2 linked regions of the Oryctolagus cuniculus genome follow. The protein of the gene in region 2 binds, or shares a complex with, the protein of the main gene of each other region. Links are inferred from orthologs where the notes say so. Each region holds a gene or a part of one and is shown on either strand. Other genes may lie near its edges.

Evidence for each region.
Region 1: the proteins of SLF2 (region 2) and SIMC1 are in contact, whole or in part, in a cryo-EM structure (PDB 7T5P), measured with the Homo sapiens proteins. The link is inferred for Oryctolagus cuniculus from reciprocal best matches to the Homo sapiens genes SLF2 and SIMC1. Residues at the interface, in NP_060591.3 of Homo sapiens: His738, Val772, Leu775, Lys778, Asp783, Phe786, Gln790, Gly791, Phe792, Thr794, Ser795, Ala796, Tyr797, His798, Tyr799, Cys820, Ile821, Gln825, Ser828, Met831, Glu832, Ile835, Arg836, Asp838, Thr839, Ser841, Asp842, Ser843, Pro847, Lys919; in NP_001295125.1 of Homo sapiens: Tyr426, Arg428, Leu431, Lys435, Leu438, Pro440, Val442, His443, His444, Leu445, Phe447, Gln448, Arg470, Arg471, Phe490, Asp493, Pro497, Val521, Asp522, Lys525, Glu526, Tyr528, Met529, Met532, Lys533, Gln536, Leu537, Arg571, Asn658, Gln661.

Annotation. Positions count from the first base shown.
Region 1 is NC_091437.1:62,263,593-62,268,040, reverse strand, and holds the start of SIMC1 (SUMO-interacting motif-containing protein 1), read right to left. Parts: upstream 3,085-4,448; 5' UTR 2,952-3,084; coding exon 2,823-2,951; intron 1-2,822.
Region 2 is NC_091446.1:28,940,827-28,944,636, forward strand, and holds part of SLF2 (SMC5-SMC6 complex localization factor protein 2), read right to left. Parts: intron 3,342-3,810; coding exon 3,219-3,341; intron 2,501-3,218; coding exon 2,333-2,500; intron 1,028-2,332; coding exon 925-1,027; intron 1-924. UniProt on the Homo sapiens protein: Plays a role in the DNA damage response (DDR) pathway by regulating postreplication repair of UV-damaged DNA and genomic stability maintenance.

The sequences.
Region 1 (4,448 bases), on a different chromosome or scaffold from region 2:
TCTGCAGCCATTTAGGGAGTGAGCCAGCAGATGGCAGACCTCTCTTTCTCTGCCTCTGCCTCTGCATAACTCTGCCTTTCAAATAAATAAATAAATCTTAAAAAAAAAAAAAAAAAAAAAAAAAAAAAGATGTTGTTTGCATCCCATATCAGAGTGCCTGGTTCAAGTCCTGGCTCTGCTTCTGATTCCAGCTTCCTGCTAATGTCCATCCTGGGGGTGCAGCAGGTGATGGCTCAAGTACATGGATTCCTGATGCTCACATGGGAGACTCCAATTGAGTTCCAGGCTCCTGTCTTCAGCCTGGCCCAACTCTGGCTGTTGCAGACACTGGGGAGCGAACCAGTGATCAGAAGATCTGTGTCTCTGGCTCTCTGCTTTTCAAATAAATACAAAATTTTAAAAATATAAAAGCCTCTTAAAAATCTTGGTACGTAGATACTAATATTCTCAAGCTCAAAAACAGAGACGTGATAGAATCTGCCAAAGCTCACCCAGCTGCTCTGTGGGGGACCTTGATTTTAACAGAGGTCTTGCTGACCTCAGAGCCTTCAGGAAAAGTTAGAAAAAGACTGTAGGCTTTTATAACCTTGCAAGTCTCTCAATGTCTTCGATCTTTATCATGGTTATCCCACCACCTTTATCTAATTTGCAAGAAAAATAAAAGGAGAAACAAGGTTGGCATTTTCATAGAGATGGACTTCAAAAAGTTCATGGAAAAGGGCATTAAAAGATAAGTTTATTTGGAATGAAACGTCTTTGAAATCCAAGCACACTCTTCCAAGAACTTTTTGAAGACAACTTTTATGAATGAAATTCCCAAAATTTTTCTGCACCAAAATAAATTTGCCTTTTAATTCTTTCTACCATGAGCTTTTTGAAGCACCCGCCAATATCCAGAGAAGCAAGACTGAAATGAAGTCCTGCTCTCTGGAACCTGCCCTTCATTTCTATTCAACTCAAAAGGCTCAAGATCAAAATGTTACCTTGGGCAACCTTAGGGGACGGCGACAGAGAGAGAATACATTCATATCCGTGTGTGTGTGCGCGTGCGCGTGTGTGTGTGTGGGACACAACAGCCTGGGACAGGGATCACCACTGTGCACTTATGGAAGCTGGATCAATGAGGGAAAAAAACACCTGGTTAAGCGGGTAGAAAGGGGGACTGAGACAACAGGCAACAGGGAGGAGGAACCTGGAGAAAGAGCAGTTGTTACCCTGCGGTGACTCCCACTCTCTCCCTCTCTAAACTGTTGCTTGATGACCTCAGTCAGTACTTGGCCTTCAATAGCTTTCCTGTTGGGATGACTGCCAAACATCTCCCAGTGCGGACTTTCCTGGAGAGCGCCACTCCTCTGAGCTGGCCCCACCCACCTCCCGTATTTTCCAATAGCATTTTAAATCCAGTTGGTCTGAACGGAGTTTAGTGTTGCCTGCGCCAGGAACCATCTATCTGCTGTGCTCCTCTCTCTCTCTCTCTTGCCCCTCCATTCCTTCAGTCGTACTTTCATCCAACATTTATTATGCATGCTGTGTCCCGCGTAACTTGCTGTGGCGCTAGATACATCCATTCATTCATGAAGGCAGGTCGTTTCTACCTTGAAAATCTCATGTGCCCACCTCATCAGACAAGTACAATGAATTGGGTACAATTCAACTAAATTTTTACTGAGATATTGCGAGAATCCCTCTTACTTGGACCATGGCAACACAGCACCGTGCGTTAACACGTTCTGCTCACCATTCATTGCTCGGGGATCACCTAGCACTTAGCACTGTACTTGGGACACTGACCGACTGCACAGTGGAGGCTTAGGGGCTGCAAACTGACTGGAAAGGGAATGGGAGGGAGCAGAAGCTAGGGCGCTTATCTAGGATGGACATTTGCACACGAAGCACCGTGTTTTCCTTAAACTGAAGATCTGCACACATAGCATCAGCTTGACAATTATTTCTGGGGTGTGGCTGGGGAGACTGTTGATGGTCTTCTCAGAGGAAGCTTGTTCGCAGGACCCACTTGTAGGATCGATCATTTCCTGGATAGGTGCTGTGGTGTGTGGGTGCTGTGCTCTCTCCATTGTTCCCCAGCCCCTAGAGCATCTGGCTCTTAGTAGGGGTTCAGTAAGTGTCTGGGAAGGAGTCTGGAAAGGCAAAGACAATTTTATGCACCTGACAAAAACGAAGGGACTAGAAGGAAAAAGAAATGGGGCAAGATGTTGCCTTCCCTATTCCCGCAGGCTTGGCACCCTGCACATGCCTGCTAAGTGAAATGAATCGCTCTCCTGCACAACTCCGAGGCCGGGCCCCTAACTGAGCAGCCAGGCCCTGGAGCGCAGCCATCATCTGGCCCAGGCCCATGCTTCCCTCCCGCCTGGCCTGGGCTCCTCTTACCTCGCTGCGCACATCTGTGCCCACCACAAGCCAAACAATTACGCGCCCCCACGTCCCCGCCTCGAAGTCTGGGTAGCGGTAGCGGTAGCGGCAGCGGCCCAGCCCCCAGCCCCCGTAGTCCAAGCGCCGGGGGCGTCCGACGCCGGGCCGAGGACCACCGATCGCCTCACCAGGCCGCCGTCCAGGGACTCGGCCGCCGTCCACTCTCCAGCCTCAGGCCGCTCGGGCTTGAGCGCTGAGCTCCGGAGGCCTGCCCCCGCCACGCTCCTCGAGGCCCGAGAGGCTGGGAAGGCGGCAAGGCGGGAAGCGCTGCAGCTGTGAGGCGCCAGGGGCAGGCGGCGGGCCCCGGGCAGGGTCTCAAGAGGCACAGTCCGAGCCGAAGCGACCCTCGGGGCCCGCGGCCGGGCTCGGCAAACCGCGCCTGGCTCACTCACCACAGTCCGGCGCGGCAGCGCGCCGGGGGTCCGGGACAGGGCCCGGCGGAGCCTCCGCGTCCGGCCTGAAGTGGCTCCTCCGTAGCTCTCGGAGCCGCTGTCGTCCGAGATCACGATGAAGTCCTCCATGGCTGCGGGCCCCAGCCGAGCCAGCACGCGGGCGGCCGGCCGGCGACCCAGAGGGCGGTGGCAGCAGCGGCGGCGGCGGCGGCGGCGACAACCAGGGCCATCACCCCGCAGGCCCCGCCCCTTCCCGCCCCGAGCCCCCGCCCACCAGCCCCGCCCCGCCCACCGGTGGCCGGCGGCGGGTGGCGCGCGGCGCGCAGCCGGCGGCCGGGTCGGGGCCGAGGGCCCTGTGTTCTGCGGGGCCGCCCATCCTCCCTTCCTTAGAAGAGACGCGGGCGAGAGAGAAGGAAAACGAGTTGCAGCTGGTTTGGGCCGGTGTCGAGGCGGGCATACCAGACGCCAATGCTGTTGGGGCTTCCCAGCTGACCGAAGTGTGAAGGGAAGTGGGTGGGCTGGGCCCCTGACCGGGAGGAGTCCCCAAGAATAGGTGACCCGACCTTTGCCTGAGGGAGCAGAAGGGCCTCCAGTTGACCCGACCTCTGAGCGTGAGCAGGCCTCTAAATGACCTGTCTTCTAGAAGACTGGGGTAGGGGACAGAGACCCCACTTCTTCGTGCACACGTGCAAGGGTAGCCCTAGGATAAATACCTACAAGTGGAATCATCGGGTCAAAGGCTGTGTGTTTATCGTTGCTGGGGTAGGCGATGGTAAATTACCCTCCTAAATTGCCCCGACTTGCACTTTCACTGGCAGTATGTGTCTCTCAGATATTTCCACTCACATCTACAGCGTTGGCCAGTAGCTATAAGGAGGAGAGGCTGAGAACGCGCCCAAAGAGAAGCCATGACGTAGTGCAGGCCGTGAACACGTAGATGTTGTGCACAGGCAGAAATTACAAAGATGAAAACAGTGTCTCCAACAGAGGGAGAAATGGTAGGTACTTGGCTGGTTGTAGGGCAAAGATATCAAAATCAAGATGTATTGTCACAATAAATATGGGGCATGGACAAAACTTACTCAGGCTCCAACAACTTTGCAAAATGTGTTAGTGGTGAGTCAAAAATGTGTTTAGCATAAGTGCTAAGTGCTGTCTTTGCAATGTCCGCCACAGTGGTTCTCAAACTTTAGCTAAGCATCAGAATCACCAGGGGCCTTGTTAAAAACGCAGATTGCAGGGCCATGCACCAGTGTCAGATTGAGAAAGTGAATTTTGGGGGGTGGGACCCCCAGATTTGCATTTCTAATAAGTGTCTGGGTGATGTTGATGTTGCTGTCTGGGGACCACACTTTGGGAATCACTGCTCTGGCTGATAGGGGGTTTATGGCCAGCAGAGTTCAGATGTTCTAGTCCAAAATGGGTGAAATCTAATCCAGTGGGTTCAGTACTAGGAGGTGAAGTCATCCTTGGTTTGAAGGGATTCATTATTTATTTATTTATTTTTAAATTCAGTACGTTATCATCAGCGAATGCCATTGAACATTTCATTTAGTCAATTCCCTGTTTCTTGAAACACTCTTCTTAGGGCCGGCGCCGTGGCTCAATAGGCTAATCCTCCACCTT
Region 2 (3,810 bases):
TTCTACTTTTCATTTCTTATGATACAGTTCTCTGATATCATTAATATTTTTAAAAATAAGATTTCTGGAGCAAATATTTACCATCATAAAGGATTCTCTTATACCATGAATTATCTTCCTCTATTGTATGCTTTTCATACATTCAGAATTTTATTAAAGTGGAACACTCTCACAACCTGGGAATAACTTGTCATTCATAATCTTCTTTGAATATGGGAGGAGGCTAATTCCAACTGAGCATCATCATAGTACTTGCTGATGTAGCAGCTAGTCAAAAAGTCCCTCTCCATAGCTTCCTAGCTCTTCTAGGATGTACTGCATTTAACCCTAAATTGGATGATACAATACTTCTATATTAATGATGTCGTTTGCCTAAAGGGACAAAGTACCTAGAGTAATACCAGGACTCTACATATAAAATCAATATCATCTATATTTTTAAAAGTTACACTTAAAAATAAAAATTAAGATATTCAAGTGGATTTAAGTAGAAAATATAAATAGAAAAAAGAGAAACAGTTGGATTTACACACACACACACACACACACATATGAACGAATGGGGAAATATTAGTATACAATAAAATCCCTGAAAATGAATATTGGTACCCCTAGAAATAAAACAAAATTTAGGGAATGTAAGCATTTGAAGATCCTTTCTAAAACTAACTGTAACAGTGATTTACTGGTGTGATGAAGTGCCTCAGACACATATAACTTTATTGACTATCCTGCATACTATCTGTATTAACATTTCCTTTAAATGCATTCAGACTCCTTTTGTATATTCTAATCCACTGAAATCACGGGTTTGATATATTAATTTTCTCCTAGGCATATGCAAGTAAAATTACATATAAAAACTTGCTTTTGACTGGGAAATACAGTAGCAGGCAACTATAACCCTCCAAACATTTCTCTTACCCGAAATAGCCACTTTAACACAGGTACAGGACACTGGACATAATGATAAGCAGAGGTGAGGAAGCCTTGTGTTGTCAAAAAAATCTGATCTGTTTTTCCTGATCTGAAAAAATAAAGTGAAATCAATGACTATTACTTTCATGGCAAAGCATTTCTACTACCACCACATCTGACACAATCAAGACAATAAAAAGCGAATCATCCTGTGTAGGTGGATCCCACACCAATATAGACAGGTTACTCACAAAACAAATTCAACTGATGGCATAAAGCTGATGCGATCTATTATTTCAGCTTCACGCCTGTCTAGTAGGCAACGCTACATTTGTTGGCAGTGTTGAAAGAGCCTATAAAATCTTAGGACCTCCTCTGCTTTTGCTAGCTTGCAGAACGCTGTTTCGTAAAACTCAGCACCAGAACTGATATGATCTCTCTAGCTCTAAGATATCAAGTACCTAGAGAAATCAGACTAGCTAGGTAGAGATTACTTATCCATACTAACATCTGGTTTGTGGTTGAGATTACTTGTCTATACTAACATCTAATTTTGCTTTTTTTTTTTTAAACTTTATTTACTTATTTGAAAGGCAGAGTTACAGAGAGGCAGAGGCAGGCCGGTGCTGTGGCTCACTAGGCTAATCCTCCACCTGCAGCACCGGCACTCCGGGTTCTAGTCCCAGTTGGAGCGCCAGTTCTGTCCTGGTTGCTCCTCTTCCAGTCCAGCTCTCTGCTGTGGCCTGGGAAGGCAGTGGAGGATGGCCCAAGTGCTTGGGCCCTGCACCTACATGGGAGACCAAGAGGAAACACCTGGCTCCTGGCTTCGGATCGGCGTGGCACGCCAGCTATAACGGCCATTTGGGGGGTGAACCAATGGAAGGATAGACCTTTCTCTCTGTCTCGGTCTCTCTCTCACTAACTCTGTCAAAACAAAAACAAAAACAAAACAAACAAAAAACAGAGAGGCAGAGGCAGAGAGAATCTTCCATCCACTGGTTCACACCCCAGATGGCTAACAGCTGGAGCAGGGCTGTCTCTTCCTCTCACTGTCTGTAACTCTGCCTCTCAAAATAAATAAATAAAATCTTACATAAAAAAAAAAAAAAGAATGACAGAGAAAAAGAATAGTGAAACCAACATACTGGCCCTAGACTTTATACCTCTTACCCTTCTTTAACTTAAGAAAGAAATAAACTCTTGTTTAAGCTCCTTTTACTCTGACAGTCACTGCTATTTATGGATCTTAATCCTAACTAATAAAAGCATGTCAACTTTCCTATCCTGCTTCCTATAATTAAGTAAAATATCATAAAGGGCAAAAAAGGATTAGGAAACCGGAAAATTACATTGGTCAGAAGTCTTTTAAAATAATTTTTATAGAGAAAAAGATATAATGTTAATTTCTACTTACTTAAGAATAAGCTTTTCTACAGCACTTTGTCCGATAAAACCAGAGTCTCTTAAATCCAAGGTATACTGATTGAAAATTTTTCCAGAATTAAGGAAATTAAATATTTCTTCACCTGGATGATGATCAGGAATAGCATCAATTGTAACTGAAAATTTCTTTAGAAATTCCCTGAAACATAAAACATGTTACTTGAATACCAAATAGTTATACTGCACATGGTTTTGTACTTAAAAGTTGGGTGCAAAGAAAACTTTACGTCCAATGTTAATCCCAGGTTAGACGACCAGCCGGAGAAAAAGTATGCTTTGCTGCTCCCAATTTTTGTCTCTTATGAGAAGGAACAATAATCAGTACAAAAGAAAAGGCGTAACTTGCCTCTAACATTTGCCTTTTAATACCATCACAGACGATTAGAAACCCAGTAAAGATTCATGAAGGAAATAATCATCAAAGGCCTATTTATTTTACAAAAAAACAAAAATTATATTTTATTTTTTTTGACAGGCAGAGTGGACAGTGAGAGAGAGAGAGAGAGAGACAGAGAGAAAGGTCTTCCTTTACCGTTGGTTCACCCTCCAATGGCCGCCACGGCTGGTGCGCTGCGGCCGGCGCACCGCACTGATCCGATGGCAGGAGCCAGGTACTTATCCTGGTCTCCCATGGGGTGCAGGGCCCAAGTACTTGGGTCATCCTCCACTGCACTCCCTGGCCACAGCAGAGAGCTGGCCTGGAAGAGAGGCAACTGGGACAGAATCCGGTGCCCCAACCGGTACTAGAACGCGGTGTGCTGGCGCTGCAAGGCGGAGGATTAGCCTAGTGAGCCACGGTGCCGGCCAAAAAACAAAAACTGTAAAATGACATACATACATTATAAAAAATACCATACCTGTGTTCTTCCAAGAGGCCATCTTCATCATCTGTACTATCTTGATCTCCGATTCTGATTGGGGATTTAATGCCTCGGCCCTGCCTTATATCTTCTTGTAGCTGCTTCTGCAGTTCATCTAGCCTGAGGATTAAAAGAATGCTATAATAAATAATTCATCCTAAAAATTAAAAAAAAACTTAGTAAGTTAAATCATGTCTCCCCAATACATCATGACATATAATATAATATACCATTTTCAGTAAAACATGAAAAGTCTGTTTCTTTTTTAAAGATTTATTTTATTTATTTGAAAGTCAGAGTTACACAGAGAGAGAAGGAGAGGCAGAGAGAGAGAGAGAGAGAGAGAGAGAGAATCTTCCATCTGCTGGTTCACTCCCCAGATGGCCGCAAAGGCCAGAGCTGGGCCGATGCGAAGCCAGGAGCCAGGAGCTTCCTCCGGGTCTCCCATACGGGTGCAGGGGTCCAAGGTCTTCGGCCACCTTCTACTGCTTTCCCAGGCCATAGCAAAGAGCTGGATAGGAAGTGGAGCACCTGGGACTTGAACTGATGCCCGTATGGTATACTGGCACTGCAGGCAGTGGCTTTACCT